Schizosaccharomyces pombe: one gene and its partners. The gene in region 2 interacts genetically with the main gene of each other region. Each region holds a gene or a part of one and is shown on either strand. Other genes may lie near its edges. The genes, in order: SPOM_SPBP4H10.16C, rrg9, SPOM_SPAPB24D3.02C and dbl8.

Evidence for each region.
Region 1: mutations in rrg9 (region 2) and SPOM_SPBP4H10.16C together harm fitness less than expected from each alone (positive genetic interaction), as found in Schizosaccharomyces pombe (one large-scale study listed by BioGRID).
Region 3: mutations in rrg9 (region 2) and SPOM_SPAPB24D3.02C together harm fitness more than expected from each alone (negative genetic interaction), as found in Schizosaccharomyces pombe (one large-scale study listed by BioGRID).
Region 4: mutations in rrg9 (region 2) and dbl8 together harm fitness more than expected from each alone (negative genetic interaction), as found in Schizosaccharomyces pombe (one large-scale study listed by BioGRID).

What each region holds. Positions count from the first base shown.
Region 1 is NC_003423.3:2,904,193-2,911,031, forward strand, and holds SPOM_SPBP4H10.16C (phosphatase activator), read right to left. Parts: upstream 3,048-6,839; 5' UTR 2,933-3,047; coding exon 2,045-2,932; 3' UTR 1,770-2,044; downstream 1-1,769. Other genes in the region: aco2 (aconitase/ribosomal domain-containing protein), read left to right, coding at 1-1,624, 1,665-1,689; SPOM_SPBP4H10.17C (carboxyl methyl esterase), read right to left, coding at 3,181-4,206; SPOM_SPBP4H10.18C (uncharacterized protein), read right to left, coding at 4,695-5,639; SPOM_SPBP4H10.19C (calreticulin/calnexin-like protein), read right to left, coding at 6,050-6,839.
Region 2 is NC_003424.3:2,419,404-2,425,921, forward strand, and holds rrg9 (protein Rrg9), read right to left. Parts: upstream 1,534-6,518; 5' UTR 1,439-1,533; coding exon 1,085-1,438; 3' UTR 501-1,084; downstream 1-500. Other genes in the region: Ino80 complex subunit Ies2, read right to left, coding at 1-216; pqr1 (ubiquitin-protein ligase E3), read right to left, coding at 2,388-3,800. UniProt on the Schizosaccharomyces pombe protein: Required for respiratory activity and maintenance and expression of the mitochondrial genome.
Region 3 is NC_003424.3:2,947,779-2,955,209, forward strand, and holds SPOM_SPAPB24D3.02C (amino-acid permease), read right to left. Parts: upstream 4,427-7,431; 5' UTR 3,944-4,426; coding exon 2,312-3,943; 3' UTR 2,230-2,311; downstream 1-2,229. Other genes in the region: toe3 (transcription factor), read left to right, coding at 166-1,950; SPOM_SPAPB24D3.03 (agmatinase), read left to right, coding at 4,638-5,864; DNA-3-methyladenine glycosylase Mag1, read right to left, coding at 6,360-7,046.
Region 4 is NC_003423.3:2,555,127-2,566,099, reverse strand, and holds dbl8 (ATP-dependent RNA helicase Dbl8), read left to right. Parts: upstream 1-2,930; 5' UTR 2,931-2,972; coding exon 2,973-8,807; 3' UTR 8,808-8,950; downstream 8,951-10,973. Other genes in the region: guanyl-nucleotide exchange factor Muk1, read left to right, coding at 918-1,303, 1,352-2,174; tri1 (CAF1 family ribonuclease), read left to right, coding at 9,153-10,436; 1,3-beta-glucanosyltransferase Gas2, read right to left, coding at 10,674-10,973.

The DNA of each region.
Region 1 (6,839 bases), on a different chromosome or scaffold from region 2:
TTTCAAAATTTGGTGAAGCCATTGAGAAAAACAAATGGCCTAAAAAGTTGTCGGCTGGCCTTATCGGTTCATGTACCAATTCTTCTTACCAAGATATGACTTGTGTTGTCGATGTTGTTGAACAAGCTATATCTGCTGGACTTAAACCAAAGGTTCCATTTTTGGTTACACCGGGTAGTGAGCAAATTCGCGCAACCATTGAACGTGATGGCATTACTGAACGCTTGGAAGAAGCTGGCGCTACTGTGCTGGCAAACGCATGTGGTCCATGCATTGGTATGTGGAAGCGTACCGATGACATTGCTTCAGGCGAGCCAAATGCTATTCTTACAAGTTTCAATCGTAATTTCCGCTCTCGTAATGACGGAAATCCATCGACTATGAACTTCTTGACCAGTCCCGTAATTGTGGCTGCCAAGATTTTTTCCTCTGATCTTGCATTTGATCCCACGCATGATACATTGCAAACACCCGATGGTAAAGCCTTCAAGTTTAGACCCCCTCAGGGCGTCGAGCTTCCTTCGGCTGGATTCATCGCTGGTGACTCTTCCTACATTCCTGAGCCTAATCCTCAGCCTGTTCCGGAAACCGAAGTTACAATCGATCCCAAATCTGATCGTTTGGAGGCCCTTGAACCCTTTGAGCCTTACCAAGGAGGAGAAATGGAAAACCTTAAGGTTGCAGTGAAGGTCAAGGGGAAGTGTACTACCGATCATATTTCTGCCGCTGGTAAATGGTTAAAATACAAAGGCCATCTTAGCAACATTTGTAACAACACACTTATTGGTGCAATGAATGCTGCTACTGGAGAAGTCAATCGTGCCTATGACAATGGCAAAGGCATGACAATTCCTGAGCTGATGTGGAAGTGGAAGAAGGATGGACAACCTTGGTTGGTAGTAGCTGAACATAACTATGGTGAGGGTTCTGCTCGTGAGCATGCAGCTTTGCAACCCCGTGCCATGAATGGTCGTATTATTTTGACCAAATCATTTGCCCGTATTCATGAGACTAATTTGAAGAAGCAAGGCGTTTTGCCTTTAACCTTCGTCAATGAAGCCGACTATGAAAAGATAGATGCAGAGGATAAGGTTTCCACTCGTGGTATTGAACAACTTTTAGAAGGTGTTTTGGACCAGCCTATTACCCTTGTCGTCACTAAGAAAGACGGTTCAGTTGTAGAGATTCCTTGCAAACACACAATGAGTAAAGACCAGATAGAATTTTTCAAGGCCGGTTCAGCTCTTAATTTGATTCGCGAAAAGGCCCATTCTGGCGTGGTAAATCAAAAGGTTATAGATTCAATAAAACAACAACCTGACCACTATGCTGATGCGTATATATTTAATCGTCATTTTGTTATAGCCAAAGGAGATCAACTAGGATTGCCTTTTCACTTGAAAGGTGTCCAGGTTGGTGATACGATACGACTTGATAAAATCGCTTCCTTCGGCTCAAGAGATTTTACTCTCTTTGGTAACCCGTATGTAGACCCTTCATTGTTTACGATTGAAGCGGTTGTATTATCATTCCCTAAAAGCGCATTAAGTGTTCGAGTAAAACACAAGCGTCGTCATCGTCATGATCGTGTAATGAAACATAAACAAACGTATACTATTTTAAGGTAAGTGTGCAGCAATTCTATCATGTTACTAATCATCCAGGGTTACGGAACTCAAACTGAACTAATTCCCTTTCTTCTTTTTATCTAGTCTTCTACTTCACCCATGTATGCTGCTGACAACTAAAACATTTTGTAAATTAATATAATAATTTTGTGTATTAAGGGAAATAGTGACAAGTAATACTGAACGTTGTTCAATAAAATAATAAAAAAAATTTCAGAGAGGATCAAGAAATAATAAAACTCGTAGGAGGAGTACAAATCTAATTTAAGCAATTACAAATCAAGGATTAAGTAGGTAATTGCTGCGCAAAAATAATTCTTGCTCATTTAAAAATAAAGAGGAATAACAAAAACAACAAAAACAACAAAAACACAAAAGAGAAAAAATGCTTTTAAACTTTGAAACATACCCTGTACTTAAACCGCTGCAGTCTCGTACGTATTAGCGCCTAATACAGCAAGTTCCAACGTCCAAACTCTTCTTACCCAAGTTGCAAACTCGATCCCATTGTAGGTGATACTGGTAGAAGAATCCCACCAACACTTCCGAGCTGGTTTCTGCCAAAAGAGGAGCAACTTGTGATAAACAGGAAAATATTCAGGATCAGAGACAGGGCCCTGATCTGCACTAAAATCTAGGTTGGTCAAAGTGACTGAAGTAATACAAGCGCGATGTGGTTCTTGTATTCGCCGTTTCCATTCGTCATCTTCGTGAAATCCGCTGTAGCAAAGCATGCGTACAAGGTTCTTTTCAGCGGAACCTTCTGAGGTGGAGTTTTCGAGATGTAAACAATCAAAGATCTTCTTTTGTTGCAGCAATCGTTGGGCTACACGTTGTTTTAGTTTAAGCAAATCGTTCGGACTAACTTCAATGGCAATATTGGTGGTTGGTGAAATGGGTGGGAGGATAAAAAACTCAATGTCTTCTTTTAACAGAATTATACCACATTTTCCAGGAAAAGAAGGTGGAGGTGGTGATAATGCAATTTCATCATTAGCGGTACGATTTTCGGCCATTTGAAAATAATTTAATATGTACTGAAGTAATGAAGGATCAAAGTCAGCTGTTTGAAATATTAATGGCCTTTGAGTCAGTTGGCATTCTTGAATCTCATAATCCAACAACAGGCCTCTAGGAAATAAACACATCAAGATGGATTCCGGGAGGCCTAAAAGCTGATCTCTACTCAATTCAAATACTGTGTCACGATCGCATAATTGAATAATAATAGGATCTCCTTCATAATTGAAATCGGGATTGGCTGCTACAGTAGGTATTTCCTGAGCCTGAGTTATCACAGACATGAAGGCACAAAAATTCGAGTGTTTAAAAGAGAAGTTTCAATAAAATAAATTATTTTTTAATCAAGGGTAATGATAAATAAAGATACAATCATATATGCGAATGCAACGTACTTATAGGTACTATGAAAGCGGTGCCTTTGATATCGATGCCTACGCAACCTGCACAGCACAACGTTATATGACCATACATACTCCACTATATAACGCATTTTTCTTAGTGTATAATAAAGTTCGTTAAATCATTAAGATTACTGTAGAACAGGAGTAGCACCAACTTTGGGAGGTAAAACCAAAGGTTGATTGCGATGCCAAAAATTTAAAAGTAGAGAGGAAATCTTAGCGGGAACATCTTCATGAACAAAATGACCAGTTTCAGGAAGAATCTCAAGTTGATATTTTCCTTGCATTTGTCCAATTGTTAACGTTTTATCTAGACGATCGGTACCAGCGACAATAAGCATCCTTCCATATGGTGCTCTTAGGAATTTGTCACTTAAACCCTTAAACCAGTCCATCCAATACGGCGATGTTTTGTAAAGATCGGTTCGCCAAACGAATGTGCCATCTTCCTGCTGAACGAGAAGTGAAGGAACTGTAATACAGGCCGATAATCTGTTTCTAGTAACTAAAGTCTTGATATGCCAAGAAATTGCATCATCAATTGATTTAAAGCTAGTAGGACGATTAGAGAGGTACGTTTTCATAAAACCCAATGCTTCCATCGCAGTCCCTTCAACCACATCAATGACAACAAGTCCAGAAGTATTGGGAATAGTTTTTTGAAAAGCACAGTAAGCACAAATGGCACCTCCTAAGCTATGTCCGACCAAAATGATTTTTTCATCAAGCTCAAACATACGTTGAACATAGGAGACTGCGTGAGTAAAGTCCTTAGATAATGTTTCCAAGCTCATATCTGATTCGGGTTCTAACGTTGTTTCTCCATGAGCTCGAAGGTCCAACGCTAAAAAACCAACCTTATTATCTGAATTACTCAAGAGCTCTTGTGTAACCGGTGCAAATGACATGGCACTTGAGCCAGCACCGTGTTGCAAAACAAGTAAGCAACCATCTGGTTGTGGAAGTGTTAAGTACCCATTGATAGTCCCATTCAAAGCCCCACTTTCACCAGGAATTGTTAACTTTTCATCAAAGTAATTTCGCCAATCGCTTAAACTCTCTTCATTATTTAACATTAGTTCCTTGGTTTCGGATGATTGCTCAGATTCATTCTCATAGAGTGTTTGACTGAGTTCTTCTTTACGAAATGCCATTATAAAGTATTATAATATCTTTTTTAGCTTACACGCAGCACTATAAATAGTTCACACGAATTCCTCGTTGGTTTTATGAAGATAGAATATACAATCCCAGAAGCAGAAACGGACCTGATTGAAAAAAAAAAAAATTAATTCAATGTAATTCTGAAATCGATAAATTTTAAAACAAACAATGTGTATTCCCCAGGTAGCTAAGTTGAGTAAATAATATGCAGTGGAAGTTTCCTGTACTTACTGCGGATTCCTCAATGCTCAAATGATTTACACGCCTTCCATCGCCTACGTAAAAAAATTAACGACGTAACATTTAAATATGTTACCTCGCTTTACACCAACGCTATTTTTCCTTACAGACAAATGTGACTAAAATACAATGGTAAAAGTAAGATTGAAAATCATAATTAATTTATACTTTTTATGCTAGTATGAGACAAAAATATGAGTAGATGAATGTATTATCTACTTTTGGCAATAAGCTGGTTTTATTTGAGACCTGTCATAGAAGATGATTGGGTAGATTTCTCTTGCAACTGTTTAATTAGTAGTAATCGTCCAGCTGGTAGAGCTACCGACATTGGAGTAAAGCTAGCAAACAGCTTTGGATTAACAAAAGGAAGTTCAAAAGGTGTTATTCTAGAAATATCTCTGTGGTCGTGGATACTGGTCTCTATTTTTGCGGTAGAATCATTATTGGCAGAAAAATCCTCCTCAGTAGTCAGTTGAGTTTCATCTTGATTTCTTTTCTTTAACAAGATTGACTTTTTGTTTCTTAAAACTGACGCTTTACTTGAAAGATTCTGCTCATTTTTCTCTCTGGATTGGGTAAACTTAGATAAAGCACGATCTAAGTTCCTATCCTTAGTCTCTTCCTTGTTTTCAACGTTGCTGTCATTAATAACGTCAAAATATTTCTTGCTGCCAAATACGGGCTTTTTTGATGCTGGACGTTCAGCATTTCTTACATTATTCTTTGATGTGGACATTGTAGATGGTGATTGCACATCCATAACACCAGCATTGGACTTAGTGGCTCTTCCAGTAAATGCAAACTGTGTTCTTCGTTTAAAATTATTTTTCCTCAGACTCTCGTTCTCGGTATCCTTCCTCGTTGATCTGGCATCGATTATTTGTGTTCTGTTACGCGGAGTGCGAAGTGGGGATTTTTCTTTTAGCTGAACACGCCGTTTATCCCTTTTCTCAAAAGAAGAACTCTTTTTCTTTTTCTCTTCCATTGTTTCTTTAATGGAAGAAAGCAATGAATCGAAAGATCGTCCACCAAAAATCAATTCAGAGCCTTCGGATCGTAAAGCTGGTTGGGTAGAAAATTGATGGATATTAAATCTAATGCTTTGGAAATTCATCTCATTTTTTTGAAATAAACTTCGTAAAGATGTAGCTTTTGCTCGTTTAATTAATGAGGCCACCATGTTAGTTAATGGTGGTAGTGAATATAGTTCCAATAATCGAAAAATGAACAGCTGTAGCTGAATACTAACGTACAATCAATTACTCGACTTATTTATAAACACAAAGTAGATTCCAGTAAATCAACATTGGATTTACAAGAAAATAAATGTATTCATATATTTTTTTGTGAAATAAGTAATTAAATTAGCAAGATAATTACCATTAATTGAAAAATTAACTTGAAAAAAAAATACAATGATAAATTAAATAAAATAAACTTGTCTAATAATAATATTACATTAACGAACATTATGGCTTTTCAGGAGAAAACATTCATTGAAAGTATTCAAATGAATAGCCATACAAAATCATAGGGATCACATCTGCAAAATATATATGAGAAAGTAGAACAAAATGCTCCATATGGGAATTATTTTAACAACCATAGAAAAACCGGAATACTAAGCCCAATAGATATAGCTGTGATCTTAAAAATATCCATATTCCTCATTGGGAAAAGCATACCTTCAGTGATCCAGAAGTCATAAATAGAGTTGTAAATATAACCAATGGTATTTCTTTTGATACAGTTGTACAAGTTTTTGAAATTTCCGTAAATCGTGCTAACAAGCATCATTAATATCCCAAATGGTTGGATACTAGGTTGATTGGGACAAGGGCTGTTTTCAAGTATTTTTTTTGCGATAAAAGTTTCGTTCTCAAATTTCATAGCATCCGATAAAGAAAATCCGAAGTATATATTGTTTATAAACACGCCAGCGTTCTCGTTCCAAACATCCAATTCTACGCCATTAACACTAAATGGATATGACGACGTGTTGGTGTTATTTGATAGAAGAAAGGACATGATGTTTCTACTTGTATAGTATCCATTCGAAACGTTACTATGAGTGATCCATTTTGTTGGCGAGTGGAAAAAATTCGTCCCTACATCTCCTGTATAAACAACAGATTGATCTCTTCGTATAACTACGGTTGTATTCTGCAACAAAAGAGTATACATACTGGTTCTTCCTTCAACCAATCCAGAAGGCGGTGCATCATACAGATGACAGGAAACTTTACCATCATAGCTAATTATAGACAATGAAATGTAGTCAAACATGCCGCACTTTTTCACGCCAAATCTGATCACCGACGGAGGCTCTTTTGAAACATTCTTTGGGTTTGATTGGTGTACCAAACTAACATAAGCGTGT
Region 2 (6,518 bases):
CTCATCGTCGATGATGTCTTCTTCATAATTTGTATCATCTTCTTCTAGTGCTTCCTCTATCTCTTGTTCATCTAAAACACTTTGACCTTCTTCTGCGGCAAGAGCATCATCACCTAATTCCTCTTTCGTAGAAACGCTTAAACTGTCAGAGTCTTGAGCGTTTAAATCTGACGGCGTTTCGACTAATGCGCGTCTCGTGGATCTTCTCCGTGCCATTATATTAAATATGATACTTAGGTAGTCTTTTAAAGTCTAGTAAAAACAAAGGTGCATTTTAAAAATTATTTTTTAATTGAAAGTACACAAATCGTTACCAACTTTTTCAGAAGCTGCTAAGTTTCACAGTTATTTCAAAAAAAGATTTCACTTCTACAGTAAACTGCTAAGATAAAGATTAAAACTGGCTTAAGATTTATGTCGTTGGTGGAGAAACCATGTGCCACATTAAGACGGTTATACGAATAGTAAATGGATGCACTTATCGAAACATTGTGGATTGTACGTTAACGAGTTTTCGTATTTTATTACAATTTCTATTTTTTTTGTAAATATATCACACTGATAGAGAGCACCTATCAAACGCTTCATAATTGGTTTGTTTACTAGTTGTCGAAAGCACTTTGTCGACCGTTGATTTGCATGCTTTAAATTTGTAAGCAAGTGGTGTTAAAATTCTAATCGCTAGATGCTGTGCGCCTCTTGTAAAGCAACTTATTAGCTCTACTGTATTACCAACCCTGGTACTCTAAAAGCAGAAGTTCAACGCTTTCTCATTGCAAAAGAATTTTAAAAAGCACTGTTCCGATTCTGTAAGTAGTGTATGGAGCTTTTTTAATACAAGTAATAATAGTTTTTGTATTACTTTAAAATGAACATTCATCAAGTTATAGTCGAAATTTGTAACTTATTGAATGGTGATTTCGTAGCAATTTAAAAGTCTTCTAGTATTGCTCATACTTTTCTTCTGAATAATTCAAAACCCTTACTACTGTAGGTAGGAGAAGCTTCACTTTTAGTTCATAAACAATTGATTCCAACATTACAGATCGAATTATTTCAAGGCAACTCAAAAAAGTATATAAATCTATGCAAAATCACGATTACTTTTAAGACTATTCAACCAACGTTTTTCTTTACGAGATTTCTCCCGATCGTCTAATGGTCTATTAGAGGATTTCAAAATTCGGCGAATACTTTCAGGTGAAACTCCATATAGTTTTGCCAATTCTGAACATGACATAGATGATTTTTCTTTCTTTAGACGCCGAATTTCGTCCATAGATTCTAAAGGAAGTTTCTTTTTTGGATTCCAATAGCCTCCAATTTTTCGTTTGACCGCTATGTTCTGCTTTTTCCACTCTATAGAGGCTTTGTTTGAAGCTTTGAAGGTAGAGCTTAAACGGCGAAAAATCAGAGTAGTATAGTTGAATATATTCATCAAAAAAATCCAAACGTTTCCTTTTTTCAGTCTATGTGACCTTTAAGTAATGACACTATATATTCCATTACCACTTAGAATATTTAGTAGCTGGTGAAGTATAATTACTTCCACTTATAACAAAAAAGTACAACGCTCAAAACTACTCCGATATTAGGTTGAGTTAGTAATAGTTGTAAACAGCCTTAAATTACTCCGCGAAATACTCGGATTTAAACGTTGTCAAATATCTTAAATCTTGTTCATTCGGAGTTTTCAGTGAAATCGTGGCAAAGGACTTCTTGATGCTCCGGTAAAGTCGGTTTTAGAAAGCAAAAAACAGCTTTTGCTAGTGTTCCAAACACAAAAACTACTACCCATAGCACAATTATTCATTAAAATCTGTGAAGAGAGACATATTAAACACTGTAAGTGGGTAACTTAGGAATTGAGATAAAAGCATTGTTTTTCGGACTATCAATGTTTAGTTGCTGAAAGTTACGTTAAGTTTACAAATACATCAGAGGTTGACTACAAGAACTTCCGAATAATATGAATAATGAGTTCAAATTTGGTAAATTTAAGTTACGAATACGATTTCCTAAAACATTACACAGCTTTTGTAAGCTAAAATTCTATAAATGTCTATTGTCTATGTTGATTTTTAAAAAATATGTTCGGTTTAGTAAAGATTAATGGTATGTGATGAGCAAGTATTATGTACAAGCATTTAAAAAAGCTAAATATAAGAAAAAACCGAGAATTATAAGCAAACGTTTATAACAAAGAAACACACGAAAATGCTATTTACAGCAATAAAAGTTAGGTGAGGAAAGAAAAATAGAAAGTTAGTATGCAAATTAGGCAAGGAAAACATAAAAAAACAGATAATCAAATATAGTGAGTAAAAAATAGTCCTGAGCCTTTAAGAGAGGGTTGGGAATTTAGCGGAAACAAATCCGTCGTCTATCTACATTATCACACAATTGTTCTGACCTGATACAACAGAAATTGAAGAAGGAGTAAACGTATCGTTCTCATTTTCTTCAAACTTTTCCTTAATCTCTCTTGGGAAATATGTTTTCATAAAATTCATCAAGGCGTGATCAATATTGCGAGAATCGGCTTTCATAACTTCTTTGGCACGACACAACGGACAGAAATCAACTTTCTGTTTCTGAAGAATGATAAGGCAATGCAAACAAAAAACATGGGAACAACCTAATCTCACCGGCTTGTAAGCAACGTTAGAGCATATAGCGCATTCAAAATCCCTCAGTTGAGGAATAATCGAGAATAGCTTAGAAGAGAGTGAAAAGCATATAGCTTTAGAAGCATTGTCGACCAAAAGAAGAGGGTCTGATTCGATAACTTGAAAAAATAGAGGTTGAGCGGTTAAGGATGTCCGCTTATCAAACTTTTTCATGATCTTCGTAACGGCTAACTTATTCATTTGCTGAAAAGAAGCAACTTTCAACAAACTTTCATTAAGTTCAAGAAACTTAGCATACAAAATACGATCACGATGCTTTGAGGAAGAGGGAAGACATTTTGCTAGCCTGACCTGATCGTCAAACCATTTCAAATGGCGCTCAGCGAGCTCGGGAGTGCGTTCATGACTCTGATCAGCTTCCTTGCAAGAAATAAATATATCGGAATCCATATAAATTTCGAAAATTTTTCTCCAGCAATAAAGAGATTTGTATTTCTTTTTGGAATTAGGGGAAGCTATAAGAGATATTTCATGACTCAGGATATCAATTGCGTTAAAAAGAATTTTACGCTGTTCACGCTGTAGTCCTTCAACACTTTGCAACTCCGAAGTTAATTTTTCAAAAAACTCGTGGTCACAGTTCAACGATATTTCCATACTTTGAACTTCGGACATGTCAGAACTCATAGTTTGAGTATCGATATCTTCATCAACCGTTTCACAAGTCTCTACGCTCTGAGATGATGCGGACACACTTGGTAACGTATTGGTAGGGGGCTGCTGAGTAGAATCCGAAGGAGTAGAAGGAACATTTGAGGCATAATTACTCCTGACGGTTGTAATCATATTTGATGCATTCAACTGCTTGAACATTGAAGCAGCGAACTTATCAGTTTTCAATTTATCAAAATTTACGTTGATAATAATTTTGGGGACAACAATGTGTCCCTCTTTGCCAAGGGAGTAACTAAGCGTAATAGCTTGTTGGGGATCCACGGTAGTCGGAGCCATCAATTTACTGATGGTCTCAGCACTTAGACCCAAGGAAGACAGCTCAAAAACGAACCTTTTAATACATTTTTTTAAGGCCTTGTACTGAATGGCAGCCTCGCCCCAACCAGGGGGCATATCGTTTTCGAGAGCCCTTTTAAAATCGTGTCCAAATTTCATATCGGAAGGACTTTTTTTCAATGAAAATGAAAGAGGATGAAACCTTTACAAAAGATTGAAATCAAAATATTTGAAAGGCGGTAAAACTACAGAATAAAAAACCAAAGCCCAAGAAGGAGAAAGCTTTGTGGTTTTTATAAAAATGAGTGCTCCGACCTTTGCAATCGAAGTATCGGAGTTAAGTATTTTCTTTATTACAAGCAGATGGAGAAAGAAAGCTTGCAAGATAGAGTTTCGCAGAGTTGAATTGCGTACGTTTTGATTAAAATATATATATATTAGTAATGGAATGAAGTGAAGAAAAAAGTAACAGCCCAAAGACCTAAAAGCTGCTTGTGATAAAACAACAAGCTACAATGGGACGAAATTAGATAGAATAGATAAATGGAATGGGAATGAAAATAAATAAAATGATTTTCTAATACCACGTTTCGAATCAACCGAAACCGTCGTTCGCAAACGGAGACCTGCCTGGCTTGATTCAACCAAAGGTACGTGAGTGTTTAAAATTGTAAAGAGATGCGTAACTCCTTAATACTTATACATATAGTAAATGAATTTTCGATACTATTTCAAAAGTTTTAACACTGTACTAATCGTCAAAATCCTTGTTGGTTCATGACAGGTGAAAATCCTTGCAGTCCTTTCGCATCCTTATATTGCACCGCGTTAGACGACGCAAGGTGGCAAACCAAAGCATTTCCCCCTGACGTCATAAAAAGAGCGGAGGAACTTGCGGTATAGGTAATACTACCCAACCGCACTCGGGTTCGCAATGTTATTAGTAAACGGCCTTCCGGTAAGCCTTACAGTAAAAGGAAAGGAAGCAGGGGCAATTGGAAGACCAGCAGTGGTACGAAATCTTCCTTAGCTTTATAGAATGAGGCTTGTGCTGATTGTCAACAATTTGCTGACAATGTGTGAAACGTACAGAGTTGGGTTGTTGAACAAATGTTCTGTAGCACTGTGCCAAAAGAGAAAAAATAAAAAAAAATAAAAAAAAAAGAGAGATAAAGGATAGTCGGTAAGAAGTTGAGCCTCTTTGTTTTCCTCTTTTTTGTATTGTTTTTAATTTTGTATGTATATGATAATAAGTAGGTATCTAATTATATTTGATTGATCCGATTAAACCGGACTATGACTGTAATAACCATTTTATTCACGATTAGTTAACGGTGTGCCACAAAAAACTAAAACAGATAAGGGCAAGTTTCGTATGGAATTATTGTACATTATCGTATTGAGTAAGTAGATAAACGTGTTTGATGACTATAGACATTAAAAGGATTATCGAGATTGTAAAATTTTGGTTTTTTTACAGATTAGAAAAAAAAAGAAAAAAAAAAAAAAAAGAGGAGAAGGACATGTTGCAAATCCGTGAGTCAATAAAACAATTCTGGAAGAAGCAATTTTTTAGTATTCACAATGTAAAGGAAAGGACGACAATTACAATTTCATTGAATAATCCCAAGCTATAGGAGAGACTTAAAACGAGTTTGAAATATTGAAGAATATAGAAGGATAAGAAAGTCGATTAGTATGAATTTTGAGATTCTATTAAAATATGAATAGCAGCAATTGTTAAACTATCAAAATTTTTCTTTTATTCATTATACAATGCTATTTACTTATTACGGTGAAAAACTAACACGTCAACCTCAAACAATTTAGGATTTAAACTTTCGCTTTCCAATCAAGTTTAGATTTTTATTTTCCCTAAAAGTAGTCTTCTCATTTGCACATGATTTTGTAATGCTAAGCTTGGGGTAAATGAAAGAGACCTCCCTTTTGTAAAAGAAATCTGCGTAATGCTTATAACATCGGGTCGTAATTGCTTGACTCAATAATGTAAACAAATTTTGTTAAAACTATTTGTCCCTTGAAGAGGCAGTGTTATATAGTCAGATTAGCAACACAATATATTAAAAACATCGAGGAAATTTGCATTAATAAATGCGAAATTTTCGTATTCTATATGAGCGAAACCTTAGCTAAATAGTATTGATTAACTCAGAAAAGACCAAGCATTCATAGCGAAATTAACATGAAAATTCGTGATAATAGCCTTGCTACATGAAGGCAAGAAGTTCGTTTGTTTTTAAGCAATGCAAGCATGGCATTATTATTAGCGCATTGGCTTCTTCTAAAAAACACAATCTTACATTTTAATTCGGTTGTGGAAAAATTTGATCTTTAGTTCAATGTCTTTTGTAAACTGATAATTTTAACTTCATTTTTTGGAAATGTGCATTTTGCTAATGCATATATAGCAGCAAGACCTTAAATAACAATATAAGTTTTCATGAGAACCATGTTTTCTTAATTAAGAAGACAGTAGTTTGTAAACTGTATTAAGATTATACATATATCAATATATGTTAATATATATATTTATTCATATATTCATTTTTTACAAAAGTGATTTTTCGGATTTCAAACTGTCTAAAGTTTGCATGTATAGAACACAAATTTATTTAGGGTTCAAATGATTTCGTACACAACTTTAACTTATGTTTCGCTTGTTGTATTTATTTACTTCAGCATTGGCGAGACGTGAGGGACCACACCATATTATGTATTTGCGGGTTTGTCAACACAGATTTAATTTACCCATAGCATATTACTTTATTTTTTAGCATTAACAGTATTTTGATTCGTTGTTTCTCGTCAATTCGCCTTTTTGTCTCTTTCTACATTTTTTGAAACACAGTTGGGAGC
Region 3 (7,431 bases), 530 kb from region 2:
GTTAAAAATTGTAAAGCGCAGTTGTCCGTGGAAGGGCTGCTCATTTTGCCTGAATTATCTGCTTGTTTGAGCCAATACTTCACAGCCAAATTACTTTGCATTTCCGTTTAGATCAATCGAGAGAAAAATTAAATTTTAAATGTAAATTACTTTTCGTTAGGGCAAATGACTTCTGTGGAAAAGGCTAGTAAGGCATGTGAACTTTGTCGACGCAAAAAGATTCGCTGCAATCGCGAACTACCTAGCTGTCAAAATTGCATAGTGTACCAAGAAGAATGTCATTACTCAAAACGTCTGAAACGTAGTTATTCTGCCACGAAAAAAAAGAATGGGAACCCAGTTTTGGAGTCAGCAATTCCCAGTTTGAGTCCAAGTCCGTCGATCGAAAATGGATCAGCAATGCTAAATTCCGATATTACTTCTCTTAGCAATCGTATATTCAAGGTTGAGGAAAAGTTGGACCTGATTTTAAGTTTGCTAAAAAATTCATCGGAACCTTTAGATAGGACTGAACGAAAGGATTTCCCTTCTTTAGCGATGCAGATTCGAGATGCAAATTCCCTTGTGAATACGAAGTTAAAAGAGTACAGCCGTCGATTTGAGTTGCCATCTCAAAAGACCTCTTTTGACGACTTATTCTCTAGCACATTTCCAAATTTCGATGCTGCTTTCAAAGATATTCCGGATAAAGAATGGGCTTTTGAAAACGTACAGTGGTACTTCCGATATATCAATTGTTGGTGGCCAGTATTTTATGAGAAAGACTTCATGGATGAATATGAGTGTTTGTACCGAGACAGGAATCAAGTTAAAGGGGCATGGCTTGTTTCCTTTTATTCGGTTTTGGCCCTAGCAGCTTCACGAAGTAAAGCTGGTAAGGATCAAAAACTTGCTGAATCATTTTTCTCCACCTCCTGGTATTTGATCCAGAAGCCGGGTTTTTTTCTTACACCTCAGCTTGAAAAAATCCAGGCTTTACTTATCATGATTCAATTTGCTGCCCACGTTTCTTTGCACACATTGTGCAAAGCTCTTTGTGGGCAAGCTTGTCTCATGATCAGAGACTTGAATTTGCATAGGGAGAGCGCCAACGCTGATTTTAGCAACAAAGATGCAGAATTACGAAGACGCGTCTTCTGGATTTGTTATATATTTGAGATTACAACTTCATTGGTGTTTGGAACTCCATCTGTTTTAAGTGATATGGACATTGATTGCGAGCATCCAAATTATGAATACGGCCGTTACTTTTCAGAAATGCCAACTGGCGATCTAATTTTCAGCTCAGAAGTTTCTTTGACTATCCTCAAGAACGAGGTCAGAACAAAAGTATACAGCCGCACAAATACTTCAAATGCAAGGAACAGAGAAAAGGCAATTTGGCAAATTCATGAGAAGCTACTTTGTTGGGAACGTGCACTACCTATTGAATTGAGGCAGTATTTTATTGCGTTGACTGAGAACGCACAAATTTACGAAGAGCTCGATTTTGAAAAGCAAAGGCTCTTCTCGGCTTGTATTGAAGTTTATTTATCTTACTGTAATACCTTAATTTTTTTGCATCGTCTAAATGAGAGCGTAGAAGGAGCAAATATTTGTCTCGACACAGCTCGCCGTGCTATCAATGTGCTTAAATTCTTTTTTATCATTCCTATTGCGAAGAATGTTTGCTATTTATGGGTATTCTTGTACTGTCCATTTACTCCCTTTCTTGTCCTTTTTTCTAATATTGTTAATGGCAAAGAACCGAGCACCGACATTGCTTTTGAAGATCTTAATCGGATGTATTCTGTTAACAGATTCTTTGTTAAATTAAGAGACATTGGTGGAGACCTTGCTGAAAAACTTGCATCTGTTACTGAAAATTTTATACATGCTGCCGAAAATTATTTCGCTGTACAGCCAGCATTTATGGCTGATGCTTTTGATTTTGCGAGCTTTTTGACGTGAGTTAGTCAAAAGCGCTTAAACATTTTTTTGGAATATGGGGTAAATATCTTCTTCATCTTTAAGTCCTAATTGTATATTATAGTTTAACTCGGTGTTGATTGCTATATAGTAGAAATTTTTAAAAAATATTATAACTGGGTTGAATTTTAAAAGGTGAAGCAATGTTCTTTTAAAAACTTAGCTGTTTTATAGCGGACTGCTTTTGAATTCAGCTACGCTTGTTTATAATATTACCATATGACAGAGATATATATATATATATAGTTTAATCGAGGAAAATTGGTACCTAAGTCTTTCACATATTTATTCATCGATTAATCAATATCATAATAATTATTACACAAAACTAATATACAATATGCTAATTATAAGACTTGCCATCATCTTCTTTGGACACATGATCTGCCTGAAAATCCACAGTAACACCTTCAGTAACATTCTCATCAACTGTTTTAACAGGACCTTTGAAAAAAGTTTTACCTCCGTATTTTGGTAGATAATAATATCCTACGCAGAAAAAGACTGTGAACCCCAGCACTACAATGGCCCAATTCATTTCCACTTTATTCGGATTTTGGTAACTAGGGAAAAGAAGCATAAGCGCCATGAACCATAACCAAGCCACGGCTACAATTGAAATAGGCTTGCTAAATTTCCCGCAATAAAACTTTCCAGGGTTCAGCCGATTAAACAACAAACGGCATACTAAAGGTAAAGAATATGAAATAAAAAATGCGATGATAGCTAAATTAAAGATAGAGCTGATGGCTGTCACGTTAACCAACATGAGCAAGCCAACAATAATGGTATAGAGATTGACAAGAAGAATCGCATTGAGTGGAATGCCGCCAGGAGTTAGCTTACGGAATATCCAACTACCAGGAAGACCCTTGTCTCTAGCGAAAGCAAAAATTTCTCTAGAAGAAGCCAGGCATAACGCAGAGCAATTAAAACAAAGAGCTATTATCAAAACAGCTGACACGCCAACTGCACCCCTTTTGCCAAGATTATTATAAAGCACCTGAGAAACTGGTTCTCCGTAGGGAGTGTTTAGAATAGAACTAAAGTCGTGACCCATTGTGCCTGCTATAGTGATCATAATGCAAAATCCCATAAAAAGAGATACCGTAAGACTTGAAATAATTGCAATGGGTGCTGCTTTGCTAGCATTTTTGGCCTCTTCAACAATAGTAGCACACGATTCAAAGCCTGACAAAACCCAAACGGGGGTTGTGAAGCAAAGGATGAAGGACCAACCCATGTTAGTCCATCCAGAATAATTTTCGAAATTTCCAAAAATATAGCTCCCAGTGTTTCTAGTCTCGGAAGTTGATGATGCTGCTAAACTGATAATAAATATAAGAATCGTGCATATTTGAAACACCACATTAAAACTGCTGAAACGAGCAAGGAACTTTGTTGGAAGAACAATCAAAGCTGAACAGGCAAAACTTAAAGCGACATAGATACCGTACTCTTCATATTTAGTCGGAGCATACGAGGGATTGGCAACAGACGCTGTTGCTTGAACAAGACCCGCAGCAGCATAGATAGTAGAGGCAAATCCTGTAGAATATGCGAGTGCAAGTACATATCCCAGGAACCAACTTAAGAAGGCACGGTACTTTGGAGGAGAGAGATAAGCCGTCCAAAAATATAAACTGCCAGAAGTGGGCATTGATGATGCCAACTCGCTCAAAGCAAAAGCAATTGGAAGTAAACAAGTAGCACCCACAAACCAAGACCAAACCATACCTCCGGCGCCACAATTCATACTAAAGGCCATGGAGCCCACGAGAGAAGGACACAGGCCCATGGATCCAAAGGACTGACCAAACACGGCGAGTAGGGAAAATTCTCGTTTAAACTCTTGCTTATAACCAAGGTTCAATAGCATCTTATCGTCTTCTGTAACGGGGGCAGACTCACCAACCTCTATGTCCCCAACAGAGATATCGTGAAATTCTTTCTTCATCCCAATTGTTTCATCCATCTTTCCTAGACACAACTAACGATATATAAAACCAAACAATACAAAGTGCAGAACACGAAAGATTCCCCAGTTGAATACACACGAGGCAATAACTCCAATTGAATACCAATATTAAAAACAAAAATTGGTCACAGCAAAAGGTAGTGAGAAGGCAGTAAGCAGATAAATGGGATAGCGATATTGAGTCAAAATAGCAAAAAGCCAAATGATTAAACTCTTGATTAAGTATACGATTTCCTAAAAAATTTCCTGAGACAATTGAACGTAGAAGCCCGTTTTTATATTGCTAATTAAGATGATGATCATCTTTCTAATGTACTGCTTAATCTATTGATTAAGTAAGTTCTATTTAAATTCTGGATAGGATAAGAGATTTCAATAAGCTATTACCCTTTTCATTTATCTTGTCGAGGTTCATCTCTATGAAATAAGAAACAATAAGGCTTTAGATTTCCGCCAAACCTATCGATAGCTTATTTTCCTAACCACCCCCCTATGCTTGCAGTAAAATTTATCGGCCATTTTTCTCCATGGACTCCGTTATACAGTACTTCTGCAATACAGGCGCCGATATTCGCCATAAAATGAGTTATACGATTAGTAGATTTTTGATATGATGGGCTTGTATTAGCCCTAAATTTGAAAGTATATAAAGGCCAGTTTCACTGTCTTAGAACCGTAGCTACAAGAAATTATGAAAAGTGTTGAATGGTTTACATGGGGAGTTTTTCTGCTACTTTCTGGCTTTGGAGAAGCTGGGAGGATGGGCTTGGGCTTTCAGGAGAAGAATCCAGTTTTCGTAAAGGAAAAACAATCACCATTCTATGCTGTACCTAGTAACTATGAGGAAGTAGAATTCTCAAGTATAGTCGAACCTATGTATTCAGGGATTGCGACGTTTGGTCGTTTGGAGAATGTTGAATGTTTGAGTAAAAGGTCAGAGGACTTTGATATTGCCTTTATAGGAATGCCTTTCGATACAGGCACTTCTTACCGCCCTGGTGCTCGATTTGGTCCAAGCAGTTTGCGTGAAGGATCTCGACGCATAAATACTAAATACGGTGCAGTGAATGTACCTCTTGAAATCAATCCTTTCAAATCATGGGCAAAGCTTGTGGATTGTGGAGATATTCCAGTCACCACGTATGATATTCTTAAAGCTATGGATCAGTTAGAAAGTGCATATTTCCAGCTAATAGCTCGAAAGCCCTCCAGTTTTACTGACCATGATGGATTTGCAAAAAATGATACTGTGCTTCCTCGAGTCCTTTCACTCGGTGGTGACCATACCATTGTCCTTCCCATCTTACGAGCTTTGCATCGTGTTTACGGACAACCTATTTCAGTTATTCATTTCGATAGCCACTTAGACACGTGGGCTCCTGGATTGATTGGCGATGGCGATGAAGCAGATGGAATAAACCATGGTTCTTATTTCTACTTTGCTAGTCAAGAAGGTATTATGAGCAAAGATGCCAACATTCATGCTGGCATTCGTACTCCTATCTCTAGTTTCTCTGACTACGATGATGATGTTGATTGTGGTTTCAAAATCATTGAGGCTCGTGAAATTGATGATTTGGGGATTGATGGTATCGTCAAAAAGATTCGTGACAGAGTTGGTGATAATTTGGTATATTTATCCATTGATATTGATGTGCTTGATCCTGCATTTGCACCCGCTACGGGTACTCCTGAAACTGGCGGTTGGTCATCTAGAGAAATGAGAGCAATTTTACGTGGTTTGCAAGGTCTGAAATTCGTAGGCGCTGACCTTGTCGAAGTAGCTCCCGCTTACGATGTTGCAGAAATAACATCCTTGGCTGGTGCGCAATTGTTATTTGACATTGTATCTATGATGGTGAAATATCCTTTGGTAAAAGAGGCTGATTTATCTCGTTACATGCCAATACATAAATAATTGAAATAACTGGTTTATTTAATATTCAATATTTATATCGACATCATAGATACAGATACAGAAATGAGCATGTTCAAAAAAAATCATTATTCATTATATTATTAACATATCATACGCAAGTATATCGTTAGAGACAGCTGAGCGTCATCTATCTTGTATCACATAAAGTAAAAGACAAATGTAGCAGAAACGGGTTTTCTTAACCACCCAAGAGTGTTTTGTAAATATTTGCAAATGAACCCATTAAAACATCTCATCTCCCTTTTGTTATTTTTGCCATCATTCACCAAAAAATCACTTCTTTTATATAAGCGTAATGTGACGAAAATGCTTCGTCTGAGTGGACGTAGACATTCTATTCAGAAATGATTGAAAAGATACTATAAATTGGTAAACCAAAAATAAAAAGAAGCGTACATAAAATGTAAAAGACCAACCAGGAATAAACTTATCGAATTCAACTTTTTACTTTTAAATATATAATACATCTGTCCTTCAGTGTTTCTTCGGCCTAACAGGCTTTGTATAATCGGCAAGTTTTGACGTTTTCCAGAGATACCATGCTGCTGCAGTACGAAAAGGTGCACATATTTCACTATGCTTAAGAACATACATCTTGGTTGGAATTTTTGGTAATCGGTGTAGATATCGGTATCCATTACGAATACTCAAATCGTCAGCTGGCATAACATCATCACGATTCAACGAAAAGATGAGTAACATTTCTACTGTCCATCTTCCGATTCCTTTAATCTGAGTAAGTCGTTCTATCAATTCTTCATTTGAGAGCCTTTCAGCTTCTTCTTTAGTAGGAATCAAACCGCTGATTGTTGCCTCAGCAATGCTTTTTAATGAATCAATTTTACGAGCTGAAAATCCACAGGCACGCATTATTTCAAAATCCATATCACGAATTTCCTCTGGTGTTGGAAATTGGCCATTGTTAGAAATACTTTTAAAGCGATTGAAAATTGCGTTAGCAGCTTTACTATGCAATTGTTGAGATGCTACCGCACGAATTAATTCTTCATAAGGCTCTTTTTTCTCCATACTTCGATTGGGTCGATAATTACCAACGAGCTTCACGAGCCGTTTCCAATTCTCATCCAATCCAGAAAGATGGATTTCTGCTTTTGTGAGTGAAGTGACTATCTCTTCTTTCTCTTCAATGTCCAAAGTCATAATAGCAAAGATTCAATTGATCAAAAATTTATCACTCATTATGTGCTTTTGACTAAACGGTAAGGGTTTTCATTCCTTAGGAATTGCACTGCAATTCGTTATTTATGTAAGCAAGTCCTAAGCTAAAAAAAAGGAATCTTGAAGCAAATTCAACATTCTTAGATGTAATTTGAAACTTCAATTAAATTTTCATCTGGATCGCGAAAATAAATAGAGAGGATAACTCCTTCAGCTCCAGCCCTTGTAATAGGACCTTCTTCTATGAGAACATTTTGCTTTTTTAAGTGAGCAATGACTTGCTCTAAGGGTGTTTTAGCTATTAGGCAAATATCATTTGACCCAGGAGTCAGTATGTGTGATTTTGGGTCAATCTCATTACCCTTTT
Region 4 (10,973 bases), on a different chromosome or scaffold from region 2:
ATAATACACCATAAATCCTTTTTATGACATGATGGCATTCTTAACAGTGATAACTCATTAAAAAGAGAAACAAAGTCAACCGATGTAAATTGATCATACTCTTCAATTACAATATTATATCATGACAATTGTTATGGACTTCGATGTGTATTTCATGAAGTTTGAAAAAGTAAAATATATCATCAAATTAAATGCTTATTCTTGCCAAATTATTCAACAATATCGTACAGTGAACAATTGCTTTCAAGTATTGATTAGTTTATTGTAATCTATATAAGTATTAAACTTCATCTTCGATACAAATAACGTACAAACTAACATTCCGATCATCTTAATTGTTAAAGGAATTAATGAATCTATAATTCTAAATTATTTTTTTTAGCACTTAAATTTACTCATCCTATTATTTACATTTACAGTATACGGTTTCTTAACGAGTATACGCTATTATTATGCCGAAACATGAATGCATATCAATTTTGGTTCTACCAGCACTGTTCCTCTATTTTGAAGGGTTTATAAGTTAAAGTCAAGTAAGCATTACCTCTGATTATTATTTCATTTTATATCAAGTTCTTAATCAACGTTCTTATTTTTTTAATTCGTGTCTCTATATTTTGACAATTACTTGAAAACTTGTCATACGACAAAGGTAAAGAAGGAATTGCTAGCATTTATAGCTTTAAAACGATGTATATTTTCTATTAGGGATATATTGTTATATTTTTGACTCTCAACGAATACTTCGTACTCGGTTCCTTCGATTGCTGTTTATCCTATCTGATATAAATTTGAAAATTTGAATTAGACCCTATGCTAACATATTCTTAGTTACATGTATATATAGAATTTTTTTTCGTTTAATTTTATTTTTGAAAATTAAACTTTTTGATCACCTTTCGTAAAAGTTCCTTTCGATGAGCTTTCTGAATTCTTGGAGAGCTGTTAAATATACAAATAAGCCTAAGGAAGAAGACATCAAACTCCCAAATTCTGCATCAAATCTTCCAACTACTGTACAAGCATGTGTGATACAGTTTATCTCTTCTCTAGTTAGTCCGGTTCACCCTCAATTGCTTTCGCCTGAAGAACTAGCAAAAGCATTTCAAAACTTTTACAAGCATACCGATGAGTTTATTGCTTCAACCCTTATCCCTCAACCCTCTTCAAAAGATCAAAATGTGCCTCTTTTGTTTCCTGAGGAAATAGATGCTCAGAAAAAGGCGAGACAACACTTGCTGAACCAAAAAGATGAATGGATGGACCAAATTGAAGATATAGTTTGCGAATATTTGTATGATCGGTATGTGATTACTTCGCCTACAATAACTGTTTACTAATATTGTGTTAGGATTTTCTGTTTATCTACAAGTACGGATGCTGCCAAAGATGACTTGTTAAAAAAATTTATTGCTTCTGAAGAAAAGAAAGAACTTATCAATTGCATTCCAATACCTGATGATGAAAAACTTACAAACCGGTTACATGAAGTCTCTGAAGCATTTTTTGCTCTCGATGAGCAACACACACCTAGATCGAAAATAAACACTTTTATGACCGTTAATTCAAGTATATTGAATGCCTCTCAACTTCCTCAAGAAGAATTGAATGCTGATTCTTTATTAAATTTGACCATATATTGCATTCTCTGTTATCCCGGATTTCATTTAATATCGCACCTGAATTTTGTGTTACGCTTTCGAAATGCAGATTTTTTAAGCGGAGAGCAAAGATACTGTCTCACAACTTTTGAGGCAGCCCTTACTTTTATTCTTCGAGCTTGTCCAAATCTTTTAACTCAATCGTCAATTCAACCCTCTGATGATCCTCTTTCACTTGAGGTAGCTAATAGCGAAACAGTTTCGACCTCTAACTCGCTTCATGATCCGAGTGCAGAACCCTACCCTGTGAATCGCTCATCTTTATCTAATTTAAGAAATCTGGGACTAGCACTTGAGAAATCTTATGCCTCTCTACTTAGTAAAGTAGCCAATCACACTGCCAAAAGTTCAGAAGATTCTTCCAATTCTGTAGAATTCGTGGGCGACCCACCTTTGGAACGCTTTTTGACTGTTTCTGATGCTAGCGATCTTAAAATCGGTGAAATTGAACTTCTTCTTTCTGACTATAAGCGCCTCGCACGTTTGCTTTTTGAGAAAAATGGTAATCAGTAATTTTGACTGAATATTTTCTTTAAAAATTTCACATCCAGTTGGTTTTCGGCTTTGTTTATGGTTATTTGATTCATTTGAGAGACAAAGTCATATAGAAAAGTTATATGATTGATCAATATTTTTTTTTTCTTTGTTGCAGGTCAATTCGTGAACAGCTTAAAAGTTTAAAAGAAAATTTTTATTCAAAACAAGGATTGATTATTCCTTGACGTCTATTTTATTAATGTATGAATATCACAAAGAACTAGCAAAAATGATTTAAGCTTGTATGTTGACGCAAAGATTGCATGCGAATTAAATCCTTACAAAGGAAATATATGAAACGAATATATCATGTTACTGCAAAATTTTTAAATATACTGAATAAAATGAACTGTGATTCTTTGCTCAGTGAAGAAAATAGTCATATTTGAAACTAGGAATTAAACACACAATCACAAACTTCGGATTATAATGGGTAAGAAAGTTTTTTAAGTTGTCACATTATATATAGTAATGTTTAAAATATATTTCGGATAATCATATATATCTTAATTACAATAAAGAAGCGTGATTTTGGTACATGAATTTATATACACTTTCAAAATATACGTTCATTTTTTTATTTAAAATTTCTCTTAAGGCTATTTTATTTCAATGCGATAATCGAGTGCTGTGTGGACATCAAATGATTGGTTGCACTAAATGTTTATAGTGAATAGTGTAATTTACTTCCTTAGAAACCTAGATTTTGAAAAATTGCAGTCGCGCTTTAATAAGTCTACTTCGAGAGTGAGAATGCAGCATTAGCTTGTGGTTATGGAAAATGACGAGGCTTTTGATAGATTAATAAGAAAAATTCAGGAAAATCAAAAACACCCATCTTTCGAAGGGTCCAATAAAGTTTTGCATTTGGCGCTTTCATACCTAAATACTAACAGACAAAACCCTCATTGGGTTTGTGATCCTAAATTACAAGTAGCAGTTCGTGAATGTCTTTTTCTATTTTCTTTTCAAAATGATAACGAGTATCTGGTATGGTTCAAAAAACATTTGAACGAACGCCTTCAGTTATGCCCCAAATGTATAGTTAAATATCACCAATCTTTAGATGATTTCAAAAGTCTATGTTTAAACATTTTTCACTTTGACCCAAATACTCTTGAGATTGTAATGGAGAAAATTTATAGTTGGGACATTTTTCGGTTACAGGAAGTTCTCAAAACAGTGCCTAAAATCGACACGTCCTCGGCCTCTAAACCTATACTATGCGCCTTCTACGAAATCTTATACTCTCCTCGTATTTTACATAATAAAGAAATCTTTCCCTTGTTCCGAAACAGATTTCTTGAGTCCGGTTTTCTTCGGCTCTCGAAAAACCTAGTGCCAGGTGTCATAAGTCTTCTCTTCTCGAGAGATGATGAGCTCCGAAGATGGGCTTGCAGTATTTTAAGTGATGTAAAAACAATCTCCGATAATGAATTTAAAATCCTTGAGGGTCCCCTTCTTCAGGAAATTCGTTCTTTAGACCAGAAGAAAGAAAATGAGAACGAGATGCAAATTTTTCTGAAAGGTTTATCGTTGCTGTTAAAGCATGTTGATCATCTTTATTTTAGGGGACTTACAGGAAAAAATTTCAATGTCGCCGATTTTATTCTTTCGGGATTGCAAAGCGACCATACTAATTTATGTCCGTCTTTCCTTGTATGTTTACATTCTTTGTTATACTGCTATGGACGTAATTTTTGGACGCCAGAAATTTCTCCCAGTGAAGTAATAGATAAAATTTTTAATGGTAATGCTTATAAGAGGTGGACAGAAGAAAATACATCCAATTTTTCAAACGACCAAAAGGCAGAGAATCCGTTTGAATGGGCTACCTCTCTTTTGAAGACAATTTCAATCATTGATGAAGTTGAATTAATTAACAAAATTTTGATTAATTACACCATGCAATATAAAAAGGAACTGGAAGTCGGTTTCAAAAATGTTCAGTTACTTCAATCACTTGCTGACATATTTTCAGTTTTGTTTTCCGAATATTTTATGATTTTCCCCCATAGTGATCAAAGTTTACAAAACAAAGTATTTGAATTACATTCCACTTTAGCGATTAAGTTTGACGAGCTGTTTCGTTTGCTAAACTTGGAAAATGAAGAGTCTGTTGAATGGAGGCTTATTAAGAAAGTTTTTGAATACCGATTGAATTTAGATCTTTATATTTTGAAGCAATTCTATTGCCATTATTTGGACAGAAATAGAAAGCCACCCTTGAATATCAAATCGGTAAGTGAGTCTTTTAAAAATTTTTGGGTATATTTGCAAAACGTATTTCGAGAGGAGAAGTTCTTTATGGTTCGTATTGTTTTTCGTGCTTGCTCTACAGTTTGCTTGATTGATAAGTTGCCGCCTAAGAAAGTTGACATTCCGTTCAAAAGTGATTTCGAAAATGCACTAAACGGATTTGTTGCAACATTTTCTGAAATGCTTATTCAGACTCAATGTTGGCATTTGTCGGCACAAACCCAATTGGTTTCAAATCCTTTAACTTTTCGTGGAATCTTTTCACTCGTTTTTTCTCCAATTCTTGAGATCTCAACAGGAAGTATCTCAATTATTAAATCTATTTCGCTTTCTGACAGCGTTGTTGATACTATAGGAGAGCTATTGAGAAGCCAGTTTTCAAATACACTAAATTCTTCATGTTATGTTCTTCTGCAGTGGCTTAAAGTCAGAAACTTTGGAGGAGCCAAGCACATTGTTTATTTTAATAAATTAATTATAAACACTATTTTTGACTCTGTTGATGGCTTAACTTCTAAGGATGCGACTTTTGCAAAACAAGTGGAAAAGAAAGAATCCCTTAAGAATTTCTGGGAATCGTTATGGAAATTCTTTACTCATTTTTTCATTGTTCTTCCTACTTGGCCAGTTCATGATAAGGACAATTTAGTTGATTTAATGCGGGATACCCTTGATTTTTGCGATATGCTCATTAATATTTTTGAGGAAGTTAACGGATTCATTTTTGGATTATCGGATAACGATATTAAAATTGTTTCGGCTAATGATAAGGGCAGTGCTTTAGCTATGTGTATAGCTGATTCTTTGGTTACTGTATCTTATTGGCTTAAGTTAACTGATTCTTCACTTCTAACATCCGTTGTGAAAGTGATTTGTAAAATGCTTAAAATTTGTAAAAAGTTGGAGTGTCCAATTAGTCAAAATGTGATTGATATTATCCATAGGGCATCAATTACCAGTGATGAACAAACAATTCTTACATTCACTGAGAGAGAGGATCTTTTTATATCGCTCACACCATACCTTTCAGAAGACGTTCTTAATCACTCTCCTTTCAATGATACCAATACGCTTGAAACTAAGTTACAGAGTGATGATCGGGGTTTGCTTTCTAAAGACCAGACTATTGGGATTGCGAAAAAATTACCTGAGTCAAACATTAGTACTTCAAATCATTTTTTGCTTCCTCCGAAGGCTATTTCTGCTTCTAAAGCCATCAATAGAAATGCTCAAAAATCTCAAAATTTAAATTTTTTGAAATCTAAACAAGAGACAACACAGCGAATTCGCGAATCCGCGAAAGTTCCAAGAACCAGTGCGGGGAACCATCTTTCTGAGAAACTTAATTCGGATAATCATATACCAAAAGCTTTGCAAAAGCTCGATTCTGCTGACCCAATTCGCAAGCCTTCACTTTTGCACACTTCTAAAAGTTATTCTAATCCAGATGACAAAAATACTTCAACTTCCGATGAAGATACCTCGGAGTCCGAAGAAGAGTCTAGTAACGGTCTATTCTCGCTTGCACGTGAAGCTAATTCTCATGCCTCTAAATCTCTTCCACAAAGAAGGCAGATTCAGTTCTTGGACTTTGATTCCCTTAAAACAAAAAATGTAGTTCATCCTACTCAATTGCGCCGTAATACTCAACAAAGTGCACAACTTGCTCGACTCCGGCTAAACCCTGATGTTCAAGAGTTTTACAAAGTAATTTTGGGTTGGAACCCATTAGCTGATTCTTTTTCGGCGTCTAATGTTGAGATGCAGTGCGTCCAAGCTAAATTCACGTATAATGATTCAAACGCTTATGAGAAAGTTTTCAAACCAATGTTGTTTCATGAATGTTGGGCTCAAGTGAAAAGTGCCGTTGAAGAAAAGCAATACCCTCCCATAGATTTAATCCTCAACACCCGCAGTACAGTTGATAACTTTGTCGATATTTACTTTACGTCCTGTTCACCTACCGAAGTCTCTTTTTTAAGTGATACAGATATTTGCTTACTGTCAAAATCACAAAGTTCGGGCGATACTAATAACCCAAAATCTTTTCAGTTGTGCAAAATTCAATCCATTTCTCGTAAAAAAGAATCACTTGAACTCTGTCTGCGGATGAATATTGAATCAATTGATCTACAGGAGTATGCACCGAACATTAGGTTCACAGCACAAAAATTATTTAATGCTACTACTAGCTTACGTGAATTTGCTGCTTTAAAATCTCTTCGCCATTTACCATTGTCTCAGAGAATTCTGGATGCCAATGTAACGCGTCTACCTTCAAATTTTACAGATGACAAAAAGCAAAAAATAATGAAGTCTTATGGTGTAAATGAACCCCAGGCATATGCGATTTATGCATCTTCTGTAAATGATGGTTTTACGCTCATTCAAGGGCCTCCTGGAACTGGAAAAACTAAAACCATTCTAGGCATGATTGGAGCTGTACTTACTTCTTCTAGTCAAGGGTTGCAATTTAATGTCCCAGGACAGACGCGAAAAACCTCAAAGAATAAGATTTTAATATGCGCTCCTAGTAATGCAGCCATAGATGAAATTCTCCTTCGTATCAAAGCCGGTGTTTACGATCATGAGGGTATCAAATTTTTTCCAAAAGTTATTCGTGTTGGATTTGGTGACTCCATAAGCGTTCACGCTAAAGAATTTACTTTGGAAGAGCAAATGATAAAGCAAATGGAACTTACGAACCTAAAGAAAGATCAAGAAGCAAACAATTCCAGTGATACTCGGAAAAAATATGACTCAATTATTAAAAAAAGGGACTCTTTACGCGAAGATCTAGAAAAGTTTCGTAGTACTGGAAAAAATAGTTCAATATTGGAAGCACAGCTTCGTGAGATTACCAAACAGAAAAACATGCTTGAACAGAGCCTTGATGATATGAGAGAACGTCAACGCTCAACTAATCGTAATCTGGATGTTTTGAAAAAACAAATACAAAATCAACTACTTCAGGAAGCTGATATTGTATGTGCTACCTTATCTGCGAGTGGTCATGAACTACTTTTAAATGCGGGTTTGACTTTTCGAACTGTCATAATTGATGAAGCTGCACAAGCCGTTGAATTAAGTTCAATCATACCTCTTAAGTATGGCTGTGAGAGCTGTGTAATGGTTGGTGATCCGAATCAGCTTCCTCCTACTGTGCTATCAAAAACCTCTGCAAAGTTTGGATATTCACAATCTCTATATGTCAGAATGTTCAAACAGCATAATGAGAGCGCTTGTCTTCTTAGCATACAGTATAGAATGAATCCTGAAATTAGCCGATTTCCCAGCAAGTTTTTCTATAATTCAAAACTACTTGACGGTCCCAATATGTCAGCAGTGACATCTCGACCTTGGCACGAGGATCCGCAGCTAGGTATTTATCGATTTTTTAATGTTCACGGGACGGAAGCTTTTTCCAACTCAAAGTCTCTGTACAATGTGGAAGAGGCTTCGTTTATTTTATTATTATATGAGAGGCTAATTCAATGTTATCTAAACATTGATTTTGAGGGGAAAATTGGAGTTGTTACCCCTTATAGAAGTCAAGTACAACAGCTTCGATCACAATTTCAAAGAAAGTATGGTTCCATTATATTCAAGCATCTTGATATTCATACCGTCGATGGGTTTCAGGGACAGGAAAAGGACATTATAATTTTTTCTTGCGTTAGGAGTTCGATGAGCGGTGGAATCGGTTTCCTTCAAGATCTTCGTCGGCTTAATGTAGCTTTAACAAGAGCTAAATCATCTTTGTATATCGTAGGCAATTCTAAACCGCTAATGCAAGAGGATATTTTTTATAGCTTGATTGAAGACGCAAAAACTCGTGGTGTTTGGAGAGACTTGAGTGCTAATCAATTTAAGAACTCAAAAAGTATATCAAACGTTTCGACACACCTCGCATCTAACAATTTAAATTTAGCCTCACGGGATACCCCAATTAAGTCGCCGTCGGTTGGTATCTGTGAGGAAAAACAAGAAGCACATAAAGTCAAAAAACGGCACAATATAGATAGTGCTAATTTGTCAAGAGGAACTGAGAGAGATGAAGATATACCGAATAAGCGCGCTAAGAACAAAGTTTCCACTGATCAGACTGCTGCTGATAATAAGGTCACGAAACCACGCCTTGATGAATCATCCAGTTCCAAGCAAGATGTGTTAAACAAAATAGACGAATCTGAAATTGAACAAGCGTCTTCCAAAAAGCCGGGTTATGTGGAAAAAAATAAAGATAAAGGCCATATGAAAAAATCAAAAAAGCCCAAATCGAAACTTGCTCTGGCGGCGATGGCCCACGGTTTTGCACCTCCAAAAGTTGAGCATTTCAAAAGGAAGTAGCCGATTTAGGTTTTAGTATGAGTATTTTACAGTATTACTTTTTTAATAACACGAGTAGCGGGACGTTTTCAATCATTTGAATCTTAGACATAGTTTATTTATTAATATTTCTCCTATCTAAAAATGATTTTGCTTACAACAACACTATATTAATTTTTACTCAATGGTATATATAAACAGGACAAATGCACCAGTATATTCTATATGTTTGTGTTAGGATTATATCAAACTTGTATTAGCTCATACTCACAATTTCATTATTAATTAGCTTCCAAAATATGCTATAAATTAGCATATTATCAGTGCATGTTCAATTGAGTTCTACAAAATACATTGAATCTATAGATGGAGATACATGGCAAAAACTTTTTAGAGACATTAAAAGAATTGGAGAAACACGTAGATTCAGCACACTATGTTTCCATTGATTGTGAATTTTCCGGATTATTAAGAGACTTCAACCTTAACAACAAAAATACTTTACAAGACAGATATGAGTTACTGAGAAAAAGTAGTATACGATACACAATTTTACAAATTGGTATAACCTTTATTTATTTGCAAAACAATGGAAAATCTTCGTGTATTCCCGTAAATATTAACGTAAGTCCTCTAGTTAAAGATGAATTGCACCTTAAGAGAGACTTCTGCTCGGAGGCTAGCAGTATTAAGTTTCTGATACAACAAGGTTTTGATTTTAATAAACAACTGACAGAGGGTGTACCATACTTATCACGGATTGAAGAAAGAAATTTGATCGACAAGGTTAATGAAAGATCAACTGACGACTTGACCAGCTCAATTTTAGATGCTTGCGATGAAGAAATTCTTGTTGACGCAAGAAATCAAATTAAGAATTGGTTATCGAGCGAGTTGTCACATTCCACTTCAAAATACTTGAACATTACTACCTCTAATCGTTTTATAAGAAAAGCAATACAATCCCTGGTTAAAATTGAATTTCCAACTTTAAAGAGTTACCCCAAAAGAACATTTCTGCAGGTTCGGAAGGCTATTGAAAATTCGACAACTCAATGCTCTGCCACTTCAAAAAGCGAACTCAAAGAAGATATTGCGAGCGACCAATTAATACTTAACAATCTAAATTTGATCAAACAGAATGTTGGGTTGCGACATTTATGGGACTATATACTTAAGAAAAAAAAGTCAGTAGTTTGTCACAATGGCATGGCAGATTTGGTGTATTTGTTTTCCCTTTTTGAAGGAAAAGTCCCGGAAACGATATTAGAGTTTTCTGAGCTTTGTTTATCATCTTTCAAATCTATATATGACACTAAACTTCTCTACTTGAAATCCGATGATCTTCAACATGTATCAGATGGGATACCAACGGACTTACTTTCCTTAGTTTCAAAGATATCTCTACCGCCAGTACCTTCTAACTCCTCATCTCAAAGGTCAAATGTTTCTTTAAATTCGCTGATTGAATGTCCATATAAGTCAATGATGAGCAGAAAACGCCCACATGAAGCAGGAAAAGATTCATACGACACTGCTCTACTATTTGTTTACTACGTTATGAGAACAAAACACTCGGATATACAGCGATGGCAAAATGTTCTTCCAATTCACGGTAGTTTTCTTGACCTAAATAAATATTGCAGTTGATTGAATTGAAGCGAATAATCTTCTAAAATATTCAAAGGTTATATAAACCCTATGGAGATTACAATAGTACAGGTGGCTGATTACAAACTCATGGATTATATGCAAGAATGGTATGTGACTAATAAAATTGTCAAAGGATGTTATTGGAAAAATGTTAGATAAGTTTCAATGAGGCTCAATTTTGAGGTTTAAAATTATTTGAGAAATGAAAAAATTGAATAAGGATTAATGAGGAAATTATGCCTTAAGCTCACCAACACCACCCCAGCTACAAGAATCGGCACCATGATCCTGAGTGTAAGCGTTAAGAGCAATGCTAAGTTGTTGGACACCAGTGCAACCAGTGTAGTTACCATAGGTACCCTCATAAGGATCGCTGCTAATAGAAGAACAGGCCTTGTTATCGTAGTAGCAAAGTTCGCTCAAGACCTGAGAGATCTTGCTACCGGAAGGAGTTCCATTTGCTGAACACTTGAGATTCTTAACGGCATTGGAGCAAATCGTAGTGTTGGGAGTTACTGGGAAAGCATTAGCACT